Linked DNA regions of Nothobranchius furzeri. The protein of the gene in region 1 purifies or fractionates together with the protein of each later gene. This does not show direct contact. Links are inferred from orthologs where the notes say so. Each region holds a gene or a part of one and is shown in the gene's direction. Other genes may lie near its edges. The genes, in order: polr3d, polr2l, polr3h, uri1, polr1c, polr3glb and gpn3.

Region 1 (4,242 bases):
TTGGATGTGCATGCCAAAATGCATTGTCCAAAACTTTGTTGTAAAGAACAGAAAAAAGCTCACCTCTCCAGGGCCATCAGGGCCTGAACATCTGCCAAGGGGTAGATGCCATGGTGCCTGGTCTCCACACTTCCCCCTGTGGTCAGGCCCTGAAGAGCAGCAACAGCAACAAAAGGTCCTGCACCATTTTGGTGAGGCCGCGCTGCTGCTGAAGGATTATTTCCTGTTTCACCAGGACTTCATGCAGGAGAGCTGAAAAGCATTTCAGACACAAAGTGCTTTGATTAGCTTATCACAAATAAAGTACTTTGATTAATCAATGAAAAGCGTTCTTCTTCTCTTCTTCTGTCTCTTCTCCTGGAATGTAAACATACTGAACCAAGCGTCCGACCTTGGTGATGTTACTGTGTGAAGGGGCAGCTGTTAAGGCAGACCATTATAAGATTCATAACGGTACAACCTATATAAGTCTCTAGACACCCATTTTTCTCAACAAAAAAACTGCTAAAAATATATTCAGCCTTGATTGTACACAGCAAGATTTATTATTTACAGTGATATAATTAATAATGCTCGATAACGATCAATACTAGATGTCATTTTATTGTGTTCAATGTTATATTACGTTTATTTATTACAATTATTAATAGCTTTTGTTTCATTTTTGTTCTCTGATGATTTATTTGGAAATGACTGATTTTTGGTTTGTGTTCTCAAAGCTACATAAACAAATTATATCTTGTAAAACCTCCCATAATTCAGTCAGATTCAAAACATTTCATTTCAAGGTATTTAGTAGATGAAGAGTTTTTTTTTCTTGTATGGTGCCTTCAAAAAGGTGCTTCACATTAATAATCTCACAGTAATTTATGTTACATTAACAGACTAAATAACAATGCTTCAACCTGCCCAGCATCAACAACAATCTATACATTTTTACTGATTGATATATATAATTATCATTATGTGGAAAAACAATGTGTTTATCACCAAAAATAGCCTTTTTATATTCCTTCGTAATAGTACTGATAGAGAAGAGAGCCTTAAGTGATTCCCACAGACCCCCTTAAATGAGGCTGCTAACTAACATGCTACATTCACCTTCGTGAGGTTCATTGGGTTGTGAGGAGTCACCTGCTGACATATCACCAGCTGCTGATTCTATAAGGACAAGGACAGCAACCCATTTACCATAATTAGATGAAACATAGTTCCTCTCATTGTGGATATCAAAGCTAGCTAACAGGTTGAATTTAACCAATCACTAACTAAACCCACCTTCCTTTGAGAATAACTGTGCGACATACTGACGCTCTCTCTTCTGCCTGTCCTTTCTCCTTTCATTCTTTCCTTTACTGTGACCCAGACGCGTTGCCCCGCCCGCGTTGCAGCCTGCGGCCATGCGCCTCATTCTGCGCATGCGCGTTCCGAACGGAACAACAACGCAGAGGTGTCATGGCGTCGTGCAGCACAGTGGCTCAGAAACAGAAACACAACTAGCTGGCTCAGAAACAGAAACACAACTAGCTAAGGTTCATTTATTATGACTCGCAGACCGTGAATAAACATAGAATAAAGACCCCGGAAGAAGAAATCAGGTAAGGATCTGGAAAAAGCTTAAATATCACTTTTTCTTCTCTAATGATGAAGGTTAGCGAACTAGTGCTGTATCATTATGTCCACGTGCTGGCGGTTTGTTCATTTCTAGCTGGAATTAAGTATTTTTTTCGTAGTGGGACGGTAGATTAAGAGAAACGAAAACCAGTTTAACCGTAGGAAAGTTTTCAGTGGTAACCAGTAGTCTGACTGCAAGTGAAGAAAGTTAAGTCATTTGGAGACCCAGCTGAAATGACTTCACTGCACTAGTTAACTCCTTCATTAGTAGTGTCCAAATATTTAGCTAAACAGGCCTAAAACGACAAGTTGAAAGTACTTGTGTGCCACTTTTATAAATGCAAACAATTTTTGTTCCCAGCTAAACAATAAAGTTAAATCAATCCTTCACTATTCGTTAGCATGTCTTCATATCACATCAGCTTCCAATGATGGGGTGCTGAAAGACAAAAGCCACAGGCCATGGCTAAAAAAACATCTATATAAGCAACGTGATTAAAACAGCGTCAATAAGATCAACAGTAAAACCAACAGAGGAATGTAAACAGATGCATTTAATTAGCATAATCCCCATTGTAATCCAGAAAAGAGAGAACTGGTTTTCAGTCTGAACCCAATGTTTAATATTATAATATAAAGTACACAATATTTTAGGGCTGCACATAGTAATTAGATATTTTTACGATAAGGATGTGTAGATCTCAGATGCAAAGCATCAACAGTCCAGTGTGGATGTAGATGTGCATCCAGATGTAATACCTGCATTCATATGTTGCTTTTAAATGCTACAAAATCCATCAGAATGTCGTTAGAAATAGGTGCCAATGCAGACAAAAATATCTGTGATTTTTAGATATTTTCTACAAAAAGAGTCTTTGTTGTGTCCACGATGACTACAGATACCAGTAGAAATAATTCCAAGTGAAAAAGGTTGATTTGTATCTCCTACTTTATTTAGTTCAAAATGGCTGACTCAAGTGACACCAGTAATCAGCGAATGGCGACTCCTGGAGGCAGCAGTAACGTTGGACTGCTGATGGGCCGCCGACCACCATCGGGAATCTCTCCAGGTCGCCTCCCTTCCATGAGGTCAAGAGACCTCACACTGGGGGGAGTAAAAAAGGTACTGCACCAGGTCTTTTATTAAAGTATAGTTATTTGTAGTGGTTTATAGTAGGAAGTCGAAAGTCAGGGGGAAACAATACACTGGTGCACCATTACCAGGAACTGAAGTTACCCACATCACAGCTGCGCTTCAGACAGCAGGTTTTGGAGTCTTAGTTCCTGATACTTGGACATTTATCCTCAGATTGGATAACAGTGATTCCTGGGGTTGTGCTCCTGCAGTCATTGGTGTATAAAATGAGCAGAAGTGGAGAGATGACTGAACCTTGTGGGGAACCAGTGGAGAGTGACCTGACAGTACTGTGATGGCCGTTAACCCTGACCCTCTGCTCCCTCCTCGTGAGAAAGGAGAGGACCCAGAGGATGAGATGGGAGTTAACATTCAGGTTCAGCAGTTTACATCCCATAAGATGTGGCTGGACTGTGTTGAATGCACTAGAGAAATCCACAAAGACCAGGTTGATATGTGACTTTGGCTGTTCCAGGTGGGTGAGGGTCTCATGCAGCATAGTTAGTAGAGCATCATCCACCCCTCTGTGTGGTTGGTATGCAAACTGCATTGGGTCCAAACATGCACCCACATCAACCAGCAGCTGGGCCATTACGAGCCTCTCAAAGGTCTTCACAATCAGTGATGTCAGAGCTACAGGTCCAAAGTCGCTGTTGATGCCTGGGTTGTTCTGCTTTGCCACGGGGCAGATGATAGAGGACTTCCAGATGGAGGGGATGGAGTGCTCAGCTAGCGAGCAGTTAAACAGGAAGCAGAGAACTCCCGCCAGCTGACTGCAGATGACCAGAGATCCTGCCTGGTCCTGAGGCCTTGTTGGGGTTGATCCTCTTTAGCGTGCTCTCCATGTCCACAGGCAGGAGCTGCAGGTTCTCAACGGCTTGGGACATAGGGGCTAGCTCCATGAATGTGAAGCGACAGTGTGACGTAGATCTGTCAGGCTTTTCACACCCTAGAGTTTTACTGTCTATTTTCTATCGTGTAGAAGACTTTTTCATGATCAGCCTGCATGAAAAATTCAGTGACCCATAATAATCAGAAATAATGATGCTCTTTAAAATTCTTTATTTCTAATATAATGTGAACAAAGAAAGCTTACCTGATACTCGTAGGACGATTAATACGCTGTGGATCAGTTATGATCCCAACACTGGCTTAGTGTTTACTCAAGCTGTTTACCAAAAGGGAGCTGCTTCCATCTTTGACATTTGCTCACACACCGGGTTGTTTACTCTATGGGTTTGAACTGTTTATTAAAAACAAACAACTTGCATCAAGGGGAAAATGTTCATTCAATTTAGTATTTATGTCTTTTATTTATTTATTTATATCACTGAGATTAATCTATACGAAAATGACAAGACAAAAAACCAATCATTTGTTAAAAACTCGTGGCTTCTAGGGACAAGTGATGACTAAAGATGCAACAGAAGCTGATTTTATTGTACACTGTCTAAAACCTAACACGTTTTTGTTTTCTTCCACTTTTAGAAAAC
Region 2 (3,026 bases), on another chromosome or scaffold:
TCATTGGGTTTAAAATAAACCAAAACATTATTAAACACTGAAATATGACACGTTCTGGGACAAAAGAAGAAGTTGGTTTGCGTGTTTATTCTAACCTCTATATGGGTTTGAAAGCCCACAGCCAGTCAGCCACTAGAATTGAGTCAATTTTTATGCCACTCTGTGTGTTTTCAAAGTCACCCACCAAAAATATGTAATGAAAGCATTTATAATAGCATAAAAGTAGTACTCATACTTCACTGAAAGGGGGAAAAGAATTTGTTACTGCACAAACACACCTGTACAGTGGCTCACTAGCCTTTCAGCTTGCAACTGTAAAACTCATCCGGTTGTCTCTGTTTGGTAGAAAGGTAGTTTTGACAACCAGAATGTATAGCTTCACCATATTTTATACCCCCTAAAAAACTCATAAGAGCATATCACCATCACTAGACAGCTCCTCTGACATGTTCAAAAAGTAGTAAGTCAACACAAAAATAAATTTCACCTTACATTGTACAATACAGTGTACTCTTAAAAAACAAAAGAATATGAAAACTCCTATTTTCATAATTTCAACAGCGTATAAATGCAATAATTCAGGTAGGATTCCTCATTTAGCATATGTGCTGTAGCAAATGAAATTACATAGATGATGTATTACTGTATAATGTTACTGATGGTAATGATAATGACATTTATCATGCTGACTGTAAAGATGACTATGGTGGAAATAATATGTATGTTTTATATTTTAAATATTTTCTTTATGCACCCTCCTCTATGAGTCCAATCATTTAAATGTAAAATATGACAAATCTGAAATTCAATCTTATTAAAGGCAGTGAACCAGTCCTATAGTGAGCATTTCTTTTGTGGATTCATGTTAATATTAATTTGTGTAACTATCTGCATTGGATGAAGATTTTATTTTTGCATGGTACCACCTTCAAAAACATTAGTTTTAATCAACTAATTTAGCTCTTTTCCTTAACATTCTGTCAAGATGGTATATTGAATTGCAATTGCATTTATTAGTTATATCAAGGAAAATGTTAGAGTTTTTAAACTCCTTTATCTGTGGTTACATGGATATTAATACTTTTGCTTCAAAGTTGTTTGTTTTGTAAAAGGAAAAATACATTGTGAGGTGAGTGACTTGACATGTTAGCTAAGTTTGATGGGGAGTACTGCCATTTTTATACGCTCGTTTATGAAGTGAGCTGTGGTCATTATTCAGTAGCAATATTGTGATTCTAATGAATTGTTATTTCACTTTTGCACCACATTTATTAAAACCAAATAGACGAAGACGCTCACACGTTTTCCGTGTCAGTTTCCCCATTTTCGTTTTTTTTTTTTTGGGGGGGGGGGGGGGTCAATTTTGCAAATCACAGGAAACGCTCACCTCTTATTCCGCTTTTATTTTGGCGGATTTTACCCGGAAGTTGTTTTAACGACATAAGGAGTGAGAGAACGCCATCATTATCGTGCTGGAGTTACTTTTACCAAGAAAATAGTACATTCATCTGATCTACAGCCTCAAAAGGTGAAACATATGGTAAAACGTGATAAACTAATGACGTGTGTAAGTTCGTTTAGCGGAATAATTTCAACAGCAGCTAACGCTAGCTGGTGGGCTAGTTACGTAGCGGAATACAGCACTAACCATAAGATTTGATTTCAACCGTCTTTTTTAAGTAATTCGTTTTTGGACTATTGATTAATCCATCTGAAAAAAAAAACTAAATACGTGTTTGCTTTAATCGTTGCAGTGCTAGGTTTTGCTGCATTAACGTTAGCAAAACATGCTCACATGGTGGTCTTACTGCGGTGGTATGCGGAAACGTAAATGTAATTTAAGTTAAACGACTCAACTGTGATTGTTTTACATTGTTTTCAAACATTAACCGGGTTGACTTTTGTTGCAGGTATTTAACGATGATAATCCCTGTGAGGTGCTTCACTTGTGGGAAGATTGTGGGGAACAAATGGGAAGCGTACCTCGGTCTGTTGCAAGCGGAATACACAGAGGGGTGAGAAACAACCACGTCTAGCTTCACGTTTCATGATCTTTTTACGTCCGAAATTGTTCTGGCACGTGTTTGAGTAGCTTTTCTACAAAGGTAGAACATTTCAACATTTGGTCACAATGCAGGCAAGCTAAATAACATTTAAAAAGAAGATTGGGTTTAGATTTGTTTTTAAACCACAATGCCTTTCACCTTTCCTTATGGTTTTCAGCAGTGATTAAAACGTGTTTATGTAACATATCAGGACTGATTTTTGCCATCTCCCTCCCTAGTGATGCTCTTGACGCTCTTGGCTTGAAGAGGTACTGCTGTCGAAGGATGCTTCTTTCTCATGTGGATCTTATTGAGAAATTGCTGAATTATGCTCCGTTGGAAAAATGAATGTTGTGGACTTTGTAGCACCATTATCAGGGTGAATGTGTGTACTATGTAACCTTAAATTACGACCACAGAGAAGAATTTATGGAAACATTTTTCAATTACTGGATTTTTTAAAATAAAATGAATAACCTTGCTTTCTTTCGTCCATGCGTCTACATTTTATGTGGTTGGCAACGACTAGCTCTTCAGATCTTAGCTTTGGAAATTAATGGTTTTAATCGCATAGTTCATTTCATGAGATTGGAAAAATTGATGAATGATTAAATGTCTATTTCCTGTCAATGTGACATAATTTTACAGCTTTGTGTAGTTAGTTATAACAAAACACTGGAGGATTTTTTTTTATTTGTAGAATTTATACAAAAAAAAGAATGAAAACAAGTTATTAACAGGTGTTCACTACATGCATGTTGAAATTCTATAATACAAGAATGAATCTACACAACTTTTTCTTAAAACAAATCAGACATGGTGAATATAACTGATAAAAAGTAGGTTTCATACTTTCAAACATCCAATGTCTCAGCTTCAAAGAGTTTTGACATTTATCAACCTTGGTGCAAGAAAATGCTCATCTTTCCCCGGCAGGATTCTTCAGTCTGGGGAGAAAAGGGAACAAAACCAGAACAAAGT
Region 3 (3,500 bases), on another chromosome or scaffold:
GTCAGAAGCCGAGCACAGGCATTCTGAACCACCTGTAGACGGTTCAGGGAGGTTCTGCTCAGACACGTGAAAAGAGAGTTACAGTAGTCTAAGCGTGAGGAGATGAAGGTGTGGAGAACTGTCTCAAGTTCAGAGCGGGACAGAATGGGACTCAGCTTAGCAATGTTCCTGAGATGGACGAAGAAAGAGCGAACAAGAGAACTGACATGAGAATCCAGGGTGAGAGCCGCTGCTCCTTCAGCAGCAACTATTTCTTGCATGTGAGGGGTGGATCCAGTCCTCCAGACAAACTCCTCCCTGCTTCCTTCTTTTTCACCTCACAAGTAACTTTTTAACTAGCAGATCAAATTGATCTATTGACCACAAAAAAAGCGGAGTGAGCGCCGCGCTGCACGGCTGCGCCAGTGACGAGCGCTGCGGCGCGAGCGCGTCCACACATCATGCTCAAATACAGACAGAACTTACCAGAGAGAAAATGAACGGACACAAACGACTGTGTGTTAATTATATATTTTTTGGTGAGGCCCTTTAGAAACTTAGAAAATGTTACTGTGGCCGTGTGCAGAACACACCTGGAGTCCATAAATAATCAGCGGTCTGCCTGCCGCTCTGCATCTCTGCCCCAAAAGAATCCCCGCTACTCTGAGTCCATGTAAATAATATAATATAGGTACAAACTGGATCTCTTTTGTGCTCCTTCTGGGTGTGTGAGTTAAGGGCATCAGGTGAGCCTGACAACCATTAAGGAGAACCAAGTTGCTCTCCTGTAATTTGAAGCCAGTATCCAACTCCGGATCGGGGCTTGGATCGGGAAGTAAAGCCCGAGTCCTGATCAGTCTGAAACCACGTGATCGGGGCCGATTTCCGATCATGTGATCGGATCGGGACATCCCTAGTAGAGACCCACATGGCAGCAAAAAAAAAAAAAAAAAGATGCAAAATGTGAGTTTTGCAAAATATTCCACCTTTAATATTGTGATACTTTAACATAGATGTGTGTGTTTAATATGAACACATTTGCAGGAATATAAAAAAGAAAATTATGGAAGCACTTGAAAAATAGCCATGATGGAATTTCTACACCTAGATGATTTTATCATTTATCATACAAATTAAAAAAATATATATATATATAGTGTATATATATATATATATATATATATATATATATATATATATATATATACATATATATATATATATATATATATACACACATTAAAGGATGTAAGAAAATATCGATATGGCAATATATCGTGATATTGTATTGATATTCAAAAGATGTATATCGAAAATATCGATATGGTAATATTTTGTGATATTTTATCCTGTGATTTTATATTAATATTCAAAATCCATGTATCAAATTTTTGGAAGAATTTACATGCAAATATTTGTGTATTTTCTTTTCTTTTGGTGCAATTTAAACGCAGACCGCTAGTTGGCAGCAGTGTGCAATGTGTTTTGTTTCCACCACTGAAATATAAATCCCTCTGTTATGGTTCAGATACCTCGCATTAAAAATGTTAAGTATCAGTTTGGACTAGGGCTGGGCAATAAATCGAAAATTTATCATTATCAAAATTTCTGACTCTTATCGTGATCATTTTTCCCGTGTCAATAAATTCGATAATAAAGAAATGAAAAGATGTGTAGGTTGGTAACGTTCACATCCCTTTAAGAAGCTGTACCACCTTGAGTCACGTAAAAATGTGACTCAAGTAATACGTGTGACAGCCCCATCTAGTGGACAACTTTTGTTTCTGCGCATACCTGTAGTTATCGCCAATTTATCGTTATCGAGGTGAAATTCTCAATATATTGTGACACTGATTTTAGGTCGCATCGCCCAGCCCTAGTTTGGACTGTTTATTCAATATTCCTACAAAAAATTCTGTCTAAAAAAATTGCTGATATCGTATTGTATGGCAATGTATCGTGATATGTTGTATTGTCTCCCCTATATCGTGATACTTGTCGTATTGCCAAAATTTCACCAATACACATCCCTTATATATATGGAATTTTAGTCATTGCTGCAATTATATGTTATTTTACTGTTATCCTCTGCTTTCCAGGTACGCTGTTTCTTTCATGTCTGATGCAAGAATGACAAAATATCCTTTAACAGTAAACGCTTTAACAGCTGTGTACCAGATTTCAACAGGAGCTTCTCACTCTGCTGCTTCACAGTGACCATGGGCTTCTTTGATGATATTCTCATCCCTCCTGAGTCTCTCCAGCAGCCTGCAAAGTTGTATCCAGAGTTAGAAGCACAGTGGTTTTGTTTTTACTGCATTTGCTGAGTGTGTGACTGGAGTCTTATGGATCTGGGGTTGGTTGAGCCTTCCTTAGCCGTAACTCCAGTGATGAAGCGGAGCAGGTCTGGGTCTGGGAGTACGAGACGGATGAGGGAGGGCACGACCTCTACATGGACCAAGGGGAGGAGATCCGCTTCCGGGTGGCGGATCAAGTCTTCGTGGACACGTCACCAACAGGCCCTGCTGTAGCTGCGTCTGACGCGCCGGCACAAGCGGGGCAGGCAACGGCGCCGCCAGCAGAGGCCAGCGAGGGGAAGAAGGAGGCACCGTACACTCTGATTGTAAGAATCATACAGACAAATTAAAAATCAGCTCTCGTAAAGATGATTAAACTGTGGGAGCAGTCACCATTTCAGGGTATTTGTAAACTCTTTCTGGTGCTCAGTTCATGTTTTCAGTATTTTGACTGAATTAGATTTTGATATTTTATTTGTCTTTTAAGTAAATGGGAGCTTTAACTCATTCGCTGCCAGCGTTTCTCACCGTTTTTACAGTTTTTTTTAAGCCACAGAACGTTGCGCGCTAGGATGACGTTGACGCCAAAACAACCAAAACAAAGCGGAGACTCACCTCTTACATCAGGAAGAATCCGCGCGTTTCGAGCGTTATCCGTTCTTTCATTATCTGTTGTTGAATTGTGATCGGCAGAAGCTTTTCCGGTTCGCGCCTCACTTTTTTTTTTACAGCAGCGGCCCAAAACGATCTAACACATGGATGTTCTGCTTCCTGATCACGTGACGTGTGACGTATACGGATGAAGATCCGCTTTAGAGCTGAGGTGTTTGTTCTCACGGTGTGGGGGCTCGTCCGATGCCCACACAGTAAAAACATGCAAATGACGAATTTACTCGTCATTGGCAGTGAATAGGTTAAACATCTGGTTATGAGAAACCCTAGCCTGGGAAGCCATCCTCTATAGGTGAATATATAGTCTGGACACGGCCCGTTGACGGCTCTCAGTAGTGGGCCTGGGTCTACGGTTTTCTTCCAGACTGTCTCTGCATGCTATTGGATATCAAACAACATGACGCACTCGCCGCTACCGATGTAAGTCAACGGGGCTTTCTGCCATACTCGTCCAGGGTATCCGCAGGTCTTAAATTAGCTTTTCCAAATTTAAGGCCTTAAAAATTACAAATAATACTTAAATACATTTTCCAGAGGTCTTAAATTTTCAAA
Region 4 (3,968 bases), on another chromosome or scaffold:
TTCTCATGATTAGAGGACTAGGACAGTTGGGGTCAGTTTCATTTCTAAAATTGTAAATAAGATTAAAATACATCTGCATGCAAATCCCTTCCCTGACCAAGGTCAATGGGGCTGAAACCTGTTTTTATTTGACTAGCCATGAAACAATAAAGTATTTCTACCATCTTCATTTTCCTGATGGCCTCAGACCTCTTTTTTCTTAAGCTATACCTGTATGCCTCAATAAAAGAACACCTGAGGTATTCACAATCTTTTTACATCCCATAAGCACACCATACATTTTTGCTGTTATTGTAGATGCTGCTTTTATAACCAGACACATTCATGAATGAATGTGTATTCTGATTGTACATTTCCATTTTAAATGTGTACACTTAATAAAAATGAAATAAAAACATAAATACAATAACAAGGTATTTTAATAAAATAAAATTATATATATGTGTGTGTGTGTGTGTGTGTGTGTGTGTGTGTGTGTGTGTGTGTGTGTGTGTGTGTGTGTGTGTGTGTGTGTGTGTGTGTTGAAGAATTTTCTGGTGTGAGACATTCATCTCAAAGTTTAGTGAGTAGTTTTATTTTTTCAAAGCTGTAAAGCTGGTAAAACTGCAAGTAGGAAGGGTGAGGTTCCCATTTTCCCATAAAAACACTAGCTGGTTTAAACTTTTCTAGTTTTATAGTGAGACGATGAGCTTATTGAATGTTTTGTGGTTTAAATGTAGCCCATCATATAAAAAATGAATTAAATATATCTGTATAAGAACAAACTCCATGGAATTATATTATATTATATTATATTATATTATATTATATTATATTATATTATATTATATTATATTATATTATTCCAACAGACCGCTTCTTGAGTGAGTCGTGGCAGATGGCTGCTGATACTGAGCCAGGATCCTCTGGAGGTGTCTTTCCACTGTTTTCTTCTCCACTGTCGCTGCATGCTTGCTTAGTATGAGGAATGATGTACGATGCAATTTGCTGGGTTCCTTATATAGGAAACTTTTTTCTGATTGGCTTAATGAATTGGAATGTTTATGATGTGAAGTGCCTTGAGACGACTCTTGTCGCTATTTAAATAAACTTGAATTGAAGTGTTTTATTTTGGAAATATTAACCGGAAGTCTGCCTGAAACTTCTTCCGTGTTGCTGTAGAGTGCATGGCGCAGCGAAAGTGACGAGGAGAATCTGCTAATCTTTGGGATACCGAAACCGTGGATTTATTTGGGAATAATGCAGAAATTCTGAAGTGAGTGTGTGAGATGAAATCACCTCCGAGAGTGTGGACAACCATCACTGCCCCTTTGATGAATACGTGCAGAACGGGTCTCAGGAATAGCGTCTGCTGGATTCATAAACACTTCTTTAGGACTCACAACAACCCCTGAGCTTTGTTTTTGTGGGTCACAAAACGCACAGATTGACCGTTTTGCATGTGAATTGACGATGACTGAAGGTGGGAAAATGAATTTGGAGCGTCTCGGTGGAGTTGCGAGGCTCCGACAGGAACACGAGAAGGTAAGTTTTGGTGTTTAGGTGGTGGGCAGAACCCGCGAGGCCAGCCGAGCCACGCGGTTGGATCATTTGGGAGTGTTTAAACCACGAGTGGGTCAGCTGAAGAGCTTATTTCTTCTGCGCACAGACGCCTCTGCACGACACTGGTTACGTCACATGTCTCATCTGTGTTTTTAGGTTACCTTTAGCTTCCTTCTAGAAGTTTCTTACGTTCAAATTTAAGCCTGGAGGTGTGTTTGGCTAATTTTGTTTACTTGCACACAAGTTTCACTTGTGTGGAAGTTTTAAGATTTTGCTTTGATTCATTTAGATTATTGTCTAATGCAAATCGGGAAGTCCTATGCCCCCTATAACAACTCAAAAGGTCACCGGAAGTTATTAGAGCTTGACTAAAACTAAAGTTCAGACGTGAGCCAGCTGTTTTGTTGAAGAGAAAGCAAAAGCTTAGCCTTTTATTTTGTTTTTGACAGTTTTTTTTGGGGGGGGGGGGGGGGGAGCATTTGTATTATTTAATAATACAATACTAATAATTATATACATTTAATTTCCCTTTGCCAACACAACTTTATTAACCTATTTATTACAATTGAGGGCGTTTATGAATTGAAAATTCCCAGTAGGAATAAATATATGTATTATCCTGACATCAGATTGTGTTGACCTGAATTTGTAAACAAACTAAAATGATCTGTCCTAAAACAGGTGGTGAAAGACTGTGAAAGTCGGATTCAGCACTGGTAAGCATCCAAAACTCACAAGAATGTCTCTAGAAAAGGTTTGGAATGGTTTTCTACTTTATTCTAATGTAATCCTGAACTATATTACACTGTGATTAAAGTATTTTTTGAAAATGTAATCTGAAAAGGTGTTTTTTCCCTTAACTTTGACACTTAATAGATTTGTGATTTTTTAACTTGTTTTTTGTTCTACCAATTAGATCACCATACACTTTGTTTAGAACAACCATATGACACCCTGATGGCCCAGTTTACTCATGAGATCACTAAACACTTAGAATTTAACAACTGAATGACATCTTGCTGGGCCAGTTTACCCATCAGATCACCATACACTTTTAAAAAACGTATGACACCCAGACTTGTATATTTTTTAAAGCTCTATTGTAGGAATGCAATGATACCACTTTTTTCCAAACCGATACGATACCGATACTTGGATCTGAGTACTCGCCGATGCCGATTACCAATACCGATACTTCTACCACACGAAAAAATGCAATGATTTGGAATACAGATTGTATTTTCTTCTCTGCTTTCAACAGGAGACGACTGTGAGGTAGATAAAAAGTAAAATATATGAATGGAAATCATCACAAAACTAAAATATTAGGTGAACAGAAATGACAAGTTACAGGGAAGCCATTTTCAAGCAACTGCATTGGTATCGGTTCCTGGTATCAGTTAACTTTTACCGATACGATACTGGTACTGGTATCGATACCAGTATCATATCTGTGCATCCCTACTTTATTGTCTAATTTTATTTTTATTTTTTTTAGAGATAAAAGGTGGTAAAATAAAAATAAAAAATTGTGATACACATTTATCAGTCTGTTGGTGTGGATGGTAAAACATGAACACAACTGGAAATAAACTGCAAAACACCAGTGAATGTGCAGCCACTCAGTTATCATTAAAAATATAAATGACTCACTTTTTCTCATACTTTGCTGTCTGTATGCTGAACTGACGGCTGCTAAAGTTAAAGTCAAGTTAAAGTCCCATTAGTTGTCACACACACTGATGTGACCCATCCCCTGGGGGAGCAGTGAGCTGCAGACACAGCTGCGCTCGGGAACCATTTGGTGGTTGAAACCCCCAATCCAACTCCTTAATGCTGAGTGTCAAGCAGGGAGGCATTGGGTCCCATTTTTTTCTAAGTCTTTGGTATGACCCGACCAGGAATCGAACCCTGATCTCCCAGTCTCAGGGTGGACATTCTACCACTAGGCCACTGAGCTGGCTCAGAATGCAGAGGAGGTTTAGATGATCGTGCATAAACTGCATTCATGCTGCTCTGATATGTATGGTGTTCTGTCCGAACACCAGTCCCCAGTACTCCTTAAAGTCCACCAGTTGGTTTTAAGGTTTGGTGTGAATCAGGTTTTAGTTAAAGTTAGTTAGGAATAGATCTGCATTGGTTATCATTACTGTGCAGGTATGGGTTAGGCGTAATGCAGTCACAAAAATGAATGGAAGTCAATGGAAGCCCTCACGAACAAAGAAAGACAAACATGCATTTGTGCTTCTACTGGGGACAACAGCTCTCCAAAATAACTTGAGAAGGATGCTGAGAAGTGATTGAATCCTGGACTTAATGAAAGGACCAGAAGAGTGTGTGTGTGTGTGTGTGTGTGTGTGTGTGTGTGTGTGTGTGTGTGTGTGTGTGTGTGTGTGCACGTCAAGACAGTAGAGCTCTTTACTCAA
Region 5 (3,500 bases), on another chromosome or scaffold:
CGTTGAAATAAATGGCCAAAAACAGAAAATATCTGGATAACGCGATCCCAGCCCACATTTAACTTTATGCCTTTTTATGCATGGCAGCCCTTCACACAACACGACTACCATTTTCTGCAGTTTAATAAGCTCACAACACACAAAGCGACCAGTGCTTCCTTTGCTTATGCACCTAGGTATCCCATCATGCAACGTGCTTCAGCACCTGATACGTCACCTGACGAGGACTGATGACTACATTGTGATTTCTTAGTAAATATTCTATTTAGTAAGGGATAAACTTTATTGTCTTTATCTGAGTGAATCTATAATTGAGTCAGCAGGTAAACTAGTAGTAGCACATTCCATGTCAAAGAAATTAAAAAGTTTTCAGGAGAGGGAAATATGTTAAAGTGGTTAGCAACAGTGTTAAAGCCGATGGCCCCCTCCATGAGGCCACCACGGCAAAGCAGAACACCATTGTAGCTTCTTCTGGGGAGAAAAACACTTAGGGAAAAAATAAAGTTGATAGCTGAAATAGCATGAAATAATGTAATTAGTCTTTTATCGTCTCTGTTTTATCATTTTAGTAATTTTTGCATGCATGTTTTATTGTTCTCTGCTCTTTTATTATTTTTATGTCATGTTCAGAACCTTGGGCTTCCATAAAGGCAGTGGAAGGTGCTGTACAAATAAAATTTTGTTGAATGATTGATATATTGAGCCACTGGGTATCTGGCCACGCACGCAGCTACATCTTCCACCCATTATATAACACCACAGGGATCCAGGAGTCTGTTGCCATTCGTTAAAATGAGTTTACTAATATAATTTTCAAGCTTTGTCAGCGATAACCCTGAAAAAGACTGAATTGAAACAAAATGTTAAAGGGTCTATTCCATCAATTTTTGCAGAATTAACTTTAAAAGTGATATAAACGATTTATGGACAAACCAGTGTTATTGTAATGAAGAAAACTGCAAAAATGTTGGTAATTGTGCAATTGACACAATGCCTAATTCTTTGTGCAAGCTAGCAATCGTTATATTGCCACCATTTTTCAAGAAAAAATGAGATTTTGGATTCTCAAAGAATGATATTTAAGCCATGTATATTAACTTTTGTTAATAACCTGTAGAGTGCACACAAATGTCAAAATGTTTTTATAATTTATTATTGTTTATTGTTCTCTTTACACTAAGACTTTGCAATCTATGCAACGTTAAAGTTTTTAGATGAAGAACAAGAGTAGACATGACCAAAATTGGATCCTCTTGGCTTTGGGAATTTTTTGATAGCTTTGCCAGTTAAGTGGCGATGGTGTACCCATTAATACAACTTTTTTCCTTATTTTGTCGACAAATGGAGATCTCTGAAGAAAAAAAAACTTTTTTTTCTGCATGTTTATTTAATAATGCAGGTTGAAATGACATTATTAGCTGAAAGAACAAAGGTGCGAGAGCATGCAGGCAGGGAGGACCCAGGTTAGAAATGGCGGACTCAGGGGCGGGGCCGGGTAGGAGACGCACGCTGGATGCTTTGGAGCCCATTCATAACTGCTTTGAGGTCTTGTTAGGGTTCCAAGCCTGAAGGGCAGGGAACCCAATTGTTTTAGTAAGCTTCTCTAGAAGCTCTGGCACCACTGGTGATGAACAAGACAGATAATTAGACGCATGTAATGAGTCCTCTCAAGTCCTTTGGAAATAGGTTTGGAATTTTCATGATGTGTGTGATGTTTTCGTCAAGAGTGACTTCTGACTAAAGTGAGATATTGTTTGCCCTGGGTGAAGAATGGGCCGTCATCATACGTGGGTCAGTGCTGCGTATCCACCCCTCCTCCTAAGAAAGGCTGCTGCTTGATGTTGTGTTGGCAGTAAAACATATTTTAGAGGTAGATTTCTGTATCAAACCTGTATGTGCTTCATTTTGTGCTCAGGCAGGGACCATGCTAAGTTCTCTCCAGTGGCAACAGCAAGTTACCGCCTCCTGCCAGAGATCACATTATTGGAAGTGGTGGAGGGAGAAAAGGCGGAGCTCCTGAAACACTGCTTCTCACGAGGTGTTATAGACCTGGAAGATGTTCGCGGTAAGAATTACCCAATAGAGCTAGAGTCAAGTGTTTTTAAAGAATTGGCTTTGTCATGCCGCATGAATTCCCCACACCAGTGTTTACCTGTAAATACTACATCACTATCCTTTGTTTCCTCAGGTAAAAAAGTGGCCAAAGTGGTGAACAGTCGACTAGATACATGCAGCCGAGAAGTTCTCCGACATGTGGATCTAAAGAATTTGGTGAAGCTGGGAAGGGTTCGAGATCATTTCATATGTGAGTTAGGATAAACTCCTAGAAATTACATCTAAGCACAGACATACAGGTGCTGGCCAGTAAATTAGAATATCATCAAAAGGTTGAAAATATTTCAGTAATTCCATTCAAAACGTGAAACTTGTACATTATATTCATGCAATGCACACAGACCAATGTATTTCCAATGTTCATTACATTTAAATTTGATATTCATAAGTGACAACTAATGAAAACTCCAAATTTGGTATCTCAAAAAATTAGAATATTCTGAAAAGGCTGAATATAGAAGACACCTGCTGCCACTCTAATCAGCTGATTTACTCAAAACACCTGCAAAGGCCTTTAAAAGGTCCCTCAGTCTTGTTTTGAAGGCACCACAATCATGGGGAAGACTTCTGACTTAACAGCTGTCCAAAAGACAATCATTGACACCTTGCACAAGAAGGGCAAGACACAAAAGGTGATTGCTAAAGAAGCTGGCTGTTCGCAGAGCTCTGTGTCCAAGCACATTAACAGACAGGCGAAGGGACGGAAAAAATGTGGTAGAAAAAAGTGTACAAGCTCTAGGGATAACCGCACCCTGCAGAGAATTGTGACGACAAACCCATTCAAAAATGTGGGGGAGATCCACAAAGAGTGGACTGCAGCTGGAGTCAGCGCTTCAAGAACCACCACGAGGAGACTCATGAAAGACATGGGATTCAGGTGTCGCATTCCGTGTGTCAAGCCACTCTTGAACATGAAACAGCGCAAGAAGCGTCTCGTCTGGGCCAAGGACAAAAAGGACTGGACTGATGCTGAGTGGTCCAAAGTTATGTTTTCTGATGAAAGCAAGTTCTGCATTTCCTTTGGAAATCAAGGACCCAGAGTCTGGAGGAAGAGCGGAGAAGCACAGAATCCACGTTGCATGAGGTCCAGTGTAAAGTTTCCACCGTCAGTGATGGTGTGGGGTGCCATGTCATCTGCCGGTGTTGGCCCACTCTGTTTCCTGAGGTCCAGGGTCAATGCAGCCGTCTACCAGGAAGTTTTAGAGCACTTCATGCTTCCTGCTGCTGACCAACTTTATGGGGATGCAGACTTCACCTTTCAACAGGACTTGGCACCTGCACACAGTGCCAAAACCACCAGCACCTGGTTCAAGGACCATGGTATCCCTGTCCTTGATTGGCCAGCAAACTCGCCTGACCTTAACCCCATAGAAAATCTATGGGGT
Region 6 (4,110 bases), on another chromosome or scaffold:
TATTACACTGTCACTAAGTTCACACTCTTAGTCAGATGAAAGTGAAACTGGATCTTGTTGATTTATTGAGACAGAATTCAAAAAGTGACTGTTATCAGATTTTATTTCGGTTTTTGAAAGAGATAAGGGTGTTTGGGAGACTTTGAGTCTTAACCCCCTGTTTGGTTTGGTTATGTGAGCGCTGTTCCAGACCACACTCCACACTAGTTGGTGGCGGTAATGCACCATTCATTGTTTGCCAACCACCAATAAAACACCAAAAGAAGAAGAAGAACTTAGACGGCGCGAAGCCGGATGTAAACAGACAGTTCGGTCTGGTCCAAAACAAGACGGAACCGTGGAGACGTGAATGTTCCTCAGGTTCTAACGAGATGAATTGTCGCTTTAGAGGCGAGACGACGCTTAGTGACCCCTAAAACGGAACGATCCCGGAAGAGCCGTCGCTGGACCGTGTCAGACAAAGCCAACCGGGTCACCGAGAGCTACTCGTCGTTTTGATGAACTGCGTGGGGGCGTGTATTCTCAGCCGGGTGAGATAATCTGGAGCAGAACCTATTGAAGGTCCAGTCTAGTTCAGGACCAGCCCAATGACCAGAACCCTGGCGTTCTGTATTGGTTCTGTTTGTATGGTATTATTGGACCTGGGGATTCTGGAGAGGTTAAAGGATCAATTATATAGAAAAGCTGTTATGAATCTTTGGTTTTCTCCGATAGGGGGCCATGTTGACCCAGACAACAGGAACAAGCTGGACACCAAGCTCTACCAGAACTATTGGTGGTCCGGAATGAAAGACGCTGGCTTCAAGTAGGAAGAGAATCCAACGGACGGAAGTCTGGACAAGGACTTTCTTTAGTAGGTTTCAGTTTAGCATCCTCCTCCTGCTCCAGACTTCCTGTCACACATCAGCTAACATCTCTTCGATCTCAGACGTGCATCCTCTCCATGATGCTCCACAACCTTCATCACATTTGGTCACTTGTCTCCACATCTCTGCTAACATTCAGCCTTCTTGTTCTGTCAGAATCCAGATTCAGCACCACGTCTGACCGGGCTGCAGAGGGTCTTCTTCATTGGATCTGGCAGGCTAGATGCTGATGGGTCAGCACCTATTCCCACTCACAGTCTGCCCTTACACCCCTACGACAGTCCGTCATCACCAACAAAGTCCTCAAACTGAAAACAGACACACCAAGGGCCCCCAAGAGAGGACCACTCTCTCCTGCATATCGCCAGCAATGCTGAAGAACATATCTCACACTCTCCAACTCTCCACAGTCACAGTTACCATCCGGGTGCTCCCCTAATAAAAAACAACCCACCCCGCAGACAACTGTGGCCCAGCGTTAACCGGGTCAAGACCAAAGGGTCCCTCCTCTCACAAGCGAGGGCCAGCCTATGACCACTCACCACCACTACAGGTCATAAAAATCCCTACCCACATCCGCCACAGAGGGTCCGTTCATGTTCTGGTTCTGGTCTGCTTTAGAGAGGCAATAGAGATGGCAGGTCGTGGGCGTGGCCACAGGATGATGAGTTTCAGTGTGGATGCAGTCGGCATCAGAGAATCTCTTCCTCCAACTATTCACCAGCCTACACCTGTGTTTCCAGTAAGCTCCACCCCACTACACCTGAACCCAGTCACACCTGGAGTTTAGGTCACGTGTGGCTTTATTTTGAGCAGACATTGTGTATTTATTTTTTTTGGCATCAAGTGCATTCTGGGATTTGCAGTTTAATGTTTTCCAGGTGATGGAGCAGAAGCCCCTGCCTCTAACAGGTGGAGAAGAGGCAGAGTATTTGTTGGCTCTGAAACAGGACTGCAGGGGAGCCATGAGGAGTCTTCCATGCTTTATCCAACCAGCAGTGGCACAAAGAGGTGAGACCAACAATCACCACTTAACTGCTTATCAGATGTAACTGCTCTCTTATTGTGAAGTTCTCCTCTGCACTTCCTGTCAGATGTGGAGCGATACTCAGATAAATATCACATCAGTGAACAGACTGACAGGCTGAAGGACTGGGTTGTAGGTGAGACCATGAATGCTAATATCTGTAACCACAGTAACCAAGAGAACCCAATGTGATGTGTTGATCAGGAGTAATGCTGATTAGTCGTTTCAGATTGGAAGAGATTCCCCAGAGAACTGCGAGTCCACGTCAGGAAAGCACCCGGTGATGGTCAGTAATCTGATTACTCTCAGTAATTTGAGCCAGGTTGTGTTAGCTGCTGGTAAAATGTGTTTTTGTTAAGGTGCGCTGCTCAGCTGCCGGGACAGCGGTCAGCAGATACAGAAGAAGAAGAAGAAGGTCAGAGAGGAGATCCTTCTGAAGCTGGAGGTGAGTTGGACTGGTCTGGGAAACAGGTCACAGGTAAAATAACGTATTCCAGATCTGTCAGACTCACCTGTGGAGCAGGTGTCTCAGCCACCTGCTGTCCTACCATACCGATGACGTGACCTGTGTGTGTCATACTTGCAGACGCTGGAGAAGAAGGAGGAGCAGGAGAGCTCTGAGGGGGAAGGAGAGATGGAGAAGAAGCAGGATGAGGGTGCTGAGGCTGAGGAGGATTACGATGAGGAAGAGTTTGAAGAGGTGAGGTGACACCCGGTGTGGGTGTGGCAGGGATTAAAGTTCTCCGTCGGGGTGACGGAAATCCGTCAGTTGGAATAGTCAGAAAAAAGTGCTGTCAAAATCCTCTCTCTCTCTCTCTCTCTCTCTCTCTCTCTCTCTCTCTCTCTCTCGCTCTCTCTCTCTCTCTCTCTCTCTCTCTCTCTCTCTCTCTCTCTCTCTCTCTCTCTCTGGAATGTGGTAACAAGCAAGTACGGGGGCGGTTGTGTCATCCGTCTCACTTTTGATTTGCCAGTGATAGACCGCGAGGGTAACTTTAACCGGTTTGCTGGCAGCAAGGTAAAAATAAACCTTTTCCGTGTTTTCAAGAAGAACCAACAATGCAGTTAGAAAAGCAACACAGCAAGAACATACCAAAGAGGAGCGTTTATAGACCCTTTTACTGTTTGTAAACAATATGACGTCAGCGAGAATGCTCGCGCAGCTTGGCAACAGAGAATGGCGTTGTGTCAGGCTTTATCAAGCTACGCTGCGGGGTTATCACCGGCAAATCTTGAATGTTATATTATTAAACTCACTTTAACGAATGGCAACAGACTCCCGGATCCCTGTGGCATTACGGAATGGGTGGAAGATGTAGGTGCGTGGCCAGATATCCAGTGGCCCGATATATATACGTTTTTAGTGGAGAGGCCCAGTAAGTACACACGTGAGAAGCTACGGGCATACAAATCGTTAGATGCATACAACTATGTTGTCTGTGGCCACGTACAGAAAGTAAAATATCACGACATAGACTCTGAGTTTTGCGTCTTGAAGGCAGAAGTCCTTCCTAGCCAAAGACAAGGACACAAGACTGCTATGTACGAGGCTTGGGTCATAGTAAACAAACGAGAGAACTACGTCTTCACAGCCAACTGTACCTGCATGGCAGGGTGAGTATAGCTTAGGTTTCTTTTTTTTTAGCGTGCTCAGAGTACAATCGTGTTAATTTTAGAGAAATACAGTTTATACTAATATGCAGTGGGAAAATACAGATGAATTAGAATGAAATGTTAATTAAAAAATAAATAGACTGCTTAAAAGCAAACCAGCAAGCGCAACTTACTTTATTTAATAGAACACACGTTAACCAGCTTTCTGGTGTAATCTTAGTACATAATTACCTTACCTGATATAAAATGGGCGCTACAAACTCGAGCATTTCGGATCGTGTTTTCAGTCCAGTTTTCATCAACCCTTTTGATGGCCTGCAGCCACAGACACCTCCGATTTTGTTGAAATGGATGTGCTCCCTTCGGAATTCTGTAAAGTTTCAGTCCACTACTTGGAGAGAAGCGATTCTGGCATCCATACACGCAACAACCCGACATTTTATGTGCTCAGAACTTCAAAACAAAGGGTTTAAAACACTGCTTTAGTATCGAGTGTGAATGAGGAAGCCTTCACTCTCGTTGCCAGGCTGCGCTCGCAACTTTTGATGACGTAGGTAGTAAAAGGGTCTATTGGGTACAGAATTCTGACCCGTTCTGGCTGAACAG
Region 7 (4,011 bases), on another chromosome or scaffold:
GCACTTTAGTTAAAATTTAAAATTTCTGCCTAAAACTGTCAGTGTTCTGACGTTGTCGGGTAAAAACTGCACTGCATTTGAATTTAAATCTGCCATCGCTATTGGCTAATACGTACCCTAAAACATTAGCTGGTACCATATGATGACACAAACTTGTTGTGAGCCTGTGTGTGCATTTGTTAGTGGCTCCACCCTCTTGGTCTGCTAGGCAACAGCATTTGTTGCATTTTTTCAAACAGGATGTGGGAGTTGAGTAAGAATCTGGTAGGGAGTGACTTGCTCTTTAAAGCTAGATTTAAAACATAACTTGAATCAGCTGCTTTTAAAGTTGTGACCTTTTCCATTCATGTAAATAATTTATTAACTTTAAAAATTACATAACACATACTTACTTACGAAAGCTCCTTGGTCACGAAGATTAGCTAGACATTGCTGTTTAATTAAAAACGTCTAAGAAGAAAAATGATCAAATAACCCGTGATGCACTGCGGTGGGTTTGAAGCTAATAATGACTTGATCTAAGCTACTAAACACCTCTCGCTGTCTTCGACTTCCCTTTCTGCAATAAAACAAAGAGTGAACGCTGAAAAACGTAAAAATATGTTTCGTTTGATAGTGAAGGGCGGTGTTATCGTGAACACCGCTGCAGTAACAGCGAGTCTGTAAAGTTCACTTTCGAAAACTCCCAGATAGATAATGGCAAATGTTTGAATCATTAATCGAACTCTCGAAGCTAATATTTCTGACTAACTAACAAAATTGATTTAGCATGCGCAGCTACTTTAAAGCCAAACCATAACACACAAAGCAACCCAATAAAATAAACACTCGATGCTTTACTGTATACAAAACCATATTGGATACCTACCAACAAGATTTTCGCTTTCACGCGAAAGTTCTTCTACTAGCTTAACTTGTCAATCAACTCACTTTGTCTAAACATTTAGCCATTTTTATAATAAAGTTAAATGATGAAGACAAGTGACCAGGTCAAGTATTTCTGACTGTGTTGTTGCTGCAACACTTCATCGTGATGTAGTAGTTTGTGTCTTCCTCGTGTTCTCTAGCTACCTTCTACTTCCTTCTTTTTTCTGTCAATACCCTCTACCGCCATCTACTGTTAGCTAAAATGTATACAACAAAAATCTGCTGTTAAGGCTAATCAAATGAGCTAAATCATAATTATTCTTTACACATTGAAGAAATTGTTAGATGTTTAGGTCACGTTATAAGATAAATAAATACATTTGAATTTTTGTTCGCGGTTCAATGTGATAATTCACCAGCTAATCAAGAGGGGGCAGTAGTGAGGCAGGCAACCGGATGTTACGGAAAAGCAGAAGAAAAACTCTCAGGTCAACAGTTAGCTAACTGTGAGAAGCTACGTGAACTAAATTAACCAGGTCACAGGTGTGGTAAAGGTGGGATAAAATGCCTCGTTATGCCCAACTAGTGATGGGCCCGGCGGGCAGCGGTAAGGTAAGTCATCGCTGATCACGCTGGACGTCATAAATGCTTTCTTATGTTATAATGCGTTGCTAACATGTTGAGCTAAGGCAAGTGCTACACAAACTATAACTTCTGTCTTCGTTTTTTTGGTCTGATATTTCAGAGTACTTACTGCTCCACCTTGGTCCAGCATGCAGAGGCCTTAAACCGATCTGTTCAGGTGGTAAATCTGGATCCTGCTGCTGAGCATTTTGACTACCCTGTGATGGCAGGTAAAGACTTTTAAAGATCACATCAGAAAGGCTTAATAGGAAAACAGAAATTGTGTAAAATGAAGAAATTCAAATAGATTAGGTTAGGTTTCATTGTTACATGGTGATCACTTGTAGTTTCGGATAAAAAATATGGAAACACTTTGTGATTGTGATTTTGTGGATTGGTCTTTTTATTTAAATTCAGTTTAGTAAAACAATTACTTCTGATAGGATTACCGTAAATCCTCTAATACAGGCCGGTATTCAATTAAAGGCCGGGTCTCCAATTTTGGCCGGTGTCAGAGTCAGCGGAGGTAAATAATGGCCGGTCTCTTATTGTGGCCGGATGGCATGTGGTAACAAGCAAGTACGAGCGTCCCAGCGGCAGGGTTATAGTTCCCAAATCAACCAGCAGGAGGCAGTAGAGGTTCACGCAGACCTTTATTAGGCCTTTTCTTCAACGCTTTGTAACGCTACAGACACGATCCTCTATCACGCTCCTACCACACAGAGTCATGGTGTCAGTTAACCATGCTAATTCAACCCACTCCACAGAACACACATCACCTTCCCTGTGGCTTACATAACACTCACACAACACGCAAATCAGCACATAGGAACTAGCAGAACGATAGGAAACACATATAACACAATACCCAGAATGCACCTGGCTTACAACCCCAGCCAGGTCATTACACTATCAAGTTCAAAGAGAACGTGCTGATTATGCTGCAGAACACTCTGGAGAGCAGCAGTAGGGTGTGTATGAACTACAGTAATCCCTCGTTTATCGCGGTAGATGCGTTCCAGACCTGGCCGCGATAGGTGAAAATCCGCGAAGTAGGGACTCCCAGCATGCCCCTCGCGGGGATTCCCTTCACGTCGCACCTACGTCACAAACCGCGGCTATAAACGGAAGTTGCCTTTCCAGCTCACCACTCAGTCATCGTTTCTTCAGATTCACGATCAGAGTTTCCAACCTACCGATCAATCCAACGAACTATCAGCTCATAGTAAGTTATCTTACTTACTTCTGGAAAGCCCGGCATTTCCGTGTCACTTCGTTGACGCTCGAACGCTCGGGGGTTTCCTAGATCAGCCGGCGTTTCACCGACGCTCTCACTTCCGCGTCTGTGAAACCACGCTCCCTATTGAATTATCGTATGATCACATTCTCTTTTTGGGGGTAAAACTCAAGTGCCAGACCGTAGGTACTGACACGCGATCGTTCATGTCGGTTAATTTTTAATGTTTTCTGTCTTTTATTTGCGCCTGATGTGTATCGCTGCTGTGGAGCGGGGCGCATCAACTTGTCCTCCGACGCACAGATCACAGCAGGGAGCGCTCAGCTGTTTTCGCGGTCGGTAGATCTGCCTCCTGAGCACGGCCACAGTAACAATCAGGTGTCGCCACCTCAAAAACTAATTTAACACGCGATCGTTCATGTCAGTTCATTTCCTTTAATTTTTTCTGTCTTTTATTTGCGCCTGATGTGTTTCGCTGCACGCTGTGGAGCGGGACGCTGCGCGCATCACCTTGTCCTCCGACGCACTGATCACTGATACAGCCGCCAAACAGCAAGCGCTCCGCTGTTTTTGCGGTCGGTAGATCTTTTAGAACTGCAGTTCAAAGGTAACTCATGAGGTGAATATGAACCCAGGCAGCAGTTTTTCTTTAGGATTGAGAGGAGATGCAGGAAGATAATAAACAGACAGGACAGAAAAATAGTCAAATAAAAACAAGTTAGTTTTTGTACCTGCTGTTGCAACAAACAGACACCATTGAAGGTCATCAGAAGTGAGGAACAGAAAATGAAATAATTATTTTAATGTTTAGAGCAGCAGGAACTCCGAGAGGCTGCAGGCGCATCAGTGAGTTTGCGGCCGCTGCGCAGGGGGAGGGGGGAGAGGGCTGAAGCAGGGGGAGGGGGGAGAGGGCTGAAGCAGGAACTACCGTTGTTAAAAGAAATGTGTTTAACTTTGAAAATGTGGGCGCACTTTTAATTGTCAAAAACTCCAGCGAACCATAGTTCATTTTGCTCAAATAGAAATAGAGGCCTGCCTCTAATACTGGCCCTCCTTCCAATAAAGGCCTGGAGCTTGATGAGCTTGAGTCAAATACAGGCCCGGGCCTGTATTAGAGGATTTACGGTAACTCACAAGTACAAGTAACATCAGGAGGATTTTTTAAATTAATTACTTTCTCCGTGAAGCACACTATATTTGATTGCAGTCCTGCTTTGTCAGACATCCGTGAGCTCATCCAGGTCGATGATGTGATGGAGGATGACTCTCTGAAATTTGGCCCT

What was found.
Region 2: the proteins of polr3d (region 1) and polr2l purify together in Homo sapiens (affinity purification with mass spectrometry; 3 studies listed by BioGRID and IntAct, counting the BioPlex papers as one, with this or other methods). This does not show direct contact. The link is inferred for Nothobranchius furzeri from reciprocal best matches to the Homo sapiens genes POLR3D and POLR2L.
Region 3: the proteins of polr3d (region 1) and polr3h purify together in Homo sapiens (affinity purification with mass spectrometry; 6 studies listed by BioGRID and IntAct, counting the BioPlex papers as one, with this or other methods). This does not show direct contact. The link is inferred for Nothobranchius furzeri from reciprocal best matches to the Homo sapiens genes POLR3D and POLR3H.
Region 4: the proteins of polr3d (region 1) and uri1 purify together in Homo sapiens (affinity purification with mass spectrometry; 3 studies listed by BioGRID and IntAct, with this or other methods). This does not show direct contact. The link is inferred for Nothobranchius furzeri from reciprocal best matches to the Homo sapiens genes POLR3D and URI1.
Region 5: the proteins of polr3d (region 1) and polr1c purify together in Homo sapiens (affinity purification with mass spectrometry; 6 studies listed by BioGRID and IntAct, counting the BioPlex papers as one, with this or other methods). This does not show direct contact. The link is inferred for Nothobranchius furzeri from reciprocal best matches to the Homo sapiens genes POLR3D and POLR1C.
Region 6: the proteins of polr3d (region 1) and polr3glb purify together in Homo sapiens (co-immunoprecipitation; 4 studies listed by BioGRID and IntAct, counting the BioPlex papers as one, with this or other methods). This does not show direct contact. The link is inferred for Nothobranchius furzeri from reciprocal best matches to the Homo sapiens genes POLR3D and POLR3GL.
Region 7: the proteins of polr3d (region 1) and gpn3 purify together in Homo sapiens (affinity purification with mass spectrometry; 3 studies listed by BioGRID and IntAct, counting the BioPlex papers as one, with this or other methods). This does not show direct contact. The link is inferred for Nothobranchius furzeri from reciprocal best matches to the Homo sapiens genes POLR3D and GPN3.

The regions. Positions count from the first base shown.
Region 1 is NC_091757.1:39,754,434-39,758,675, forward strand, and holds the start of polr3d (DNA-directed RNA polymerase III subunit RPC4), read left to right. Parts: upstream 1-1,442; 5' UTR 1,443-1,598; intron 1,599-2,572; 5' UTR 2,573-2,578; coding exon 2,579-2,737; intron 2,738-4,237; coding exon 4,238-4,242. UniProt on the Homo sapiens protein: DNA-dependent RNA polymerase catalyzes the transcription of DNA into RNA using the four ribonucleoside triphosphates as substrates.
Region 2 is NC_091749.1:62,790,861-62,793,886, forward strand, and holds polr2l (DNA-directed RNA polymerases I, II, and III subunit RPABC5), read left to right. Parts: upstream 1-1,389; 5' UTR 1,390-1,528; intron 1,529-1,910; 5' UTR 1,911-1,920; coding exon 1,921-2,015; intron 2,016-2,284; coding exon 2,285-2,393; 3' UTR 2,394-2,526; downstream 2,527-3,026. UniProt on the Homo sapiens protein: DNA-dependent RNA polymerase catalyzes the transcription of DNA into RNA using the four ribonucleoside triphosphates as substrates.
Region 3 is NC_091752.1:65,981,226-65,984,725, forward strand, and holds part of polr3h (DNA-directed RNA polymerase III subunit RPC8), read left to right. Parts: intron 1-2,193; coding exon 2,194-2,257; intron 2,258-2,367; coding exon 2,368-2,602; intron 2,603-3,500.
Region 4 is NC_091744.1:78,624,188-78,628,155, reverse strand, and holds the start of uri1 (unconventional prefoldin RPB5 interactor 1), read left to right. Parts: upstream 1-1,168; 5' UTR 1,169-1,452; coding exon 1,453-1,524; intron 1,525-2,223; coding exon 2,224-2,258; intron 2,259-3,968. UniProt on the Homo sapiens protein: Involved in gene transcription regulation. Acts as a transcriptional repressor in concert with the corepressor UXT to regulate androgen receptor (AR) transcription.
Region 5 is NC_091752.1:59,366,707-59,370,206, forward strand, and holds part of polr1c (DNA-directed RNA polymerases I and III subunit RPAC1), read left to right. Parts: intron 1-1,915; coding exon 1,916-2,065; coding exon of another isoform or gene 2,066-2,068; intron 2,069-2,188; coding exon 2,189-2,305; intron 2,306-3,500. UniProt on the Homo sapiens protein: DNA-dependent RNA polymerase catalyzes the transcription of DNA into RNA using the four ribonucleoside triphosphates as substrates.
Region 6 is NC_091745.1:58,816,537-58,820,646, forward strand, and holds the start of polr3glb (DNA-directed RNA polymerase III subunit RPC7-like), read left to right. Parts: upstream 1-1,310; 5' UTR 1,311-1,500; coding exon 1,501-1,608; intron 1,609-1,747; coding exon 1,748-1,877; intron 1,878-1,960; coding exon 1,961-2,029; intron 2,030-2,113; coding exon 2,114-2,179; intron 2,180-2,252; coding exon 2,253-2,338; intron 2,339-2,479; coding exon 2,480-2,593; intron 2,594-4,110. UniProt on the Homo sapiens protein: DNA-dependent RNA polymerase catalyzes the transcription of DNA into RNA using the four ribonucleoside triphosphates as substrates. Specific peripheric component of RNA polymerase III which synthesizes small RNAs, such as 5S rRNA and tRNAs.
Region 7 is NC_091746.1:47,858,027-47,862,037, forward strand, and holds the start of gpn3 (GPN-loop GTPase 3), read left to right. Parts: upstream 1-1,211; 5' UTR 1,212-1,431; coding exon 1,432-1,479; intron 1,480-1,612; coding exon 1,613-1,721; intron 1,722-3,949; coding exon 3,950-4,011. UniProt on the Homo sapiens protein: Small GTPase required for proper localization of RNA polymerase II (RNAPII). May act at an RNAP assembly step prior to nuclear import.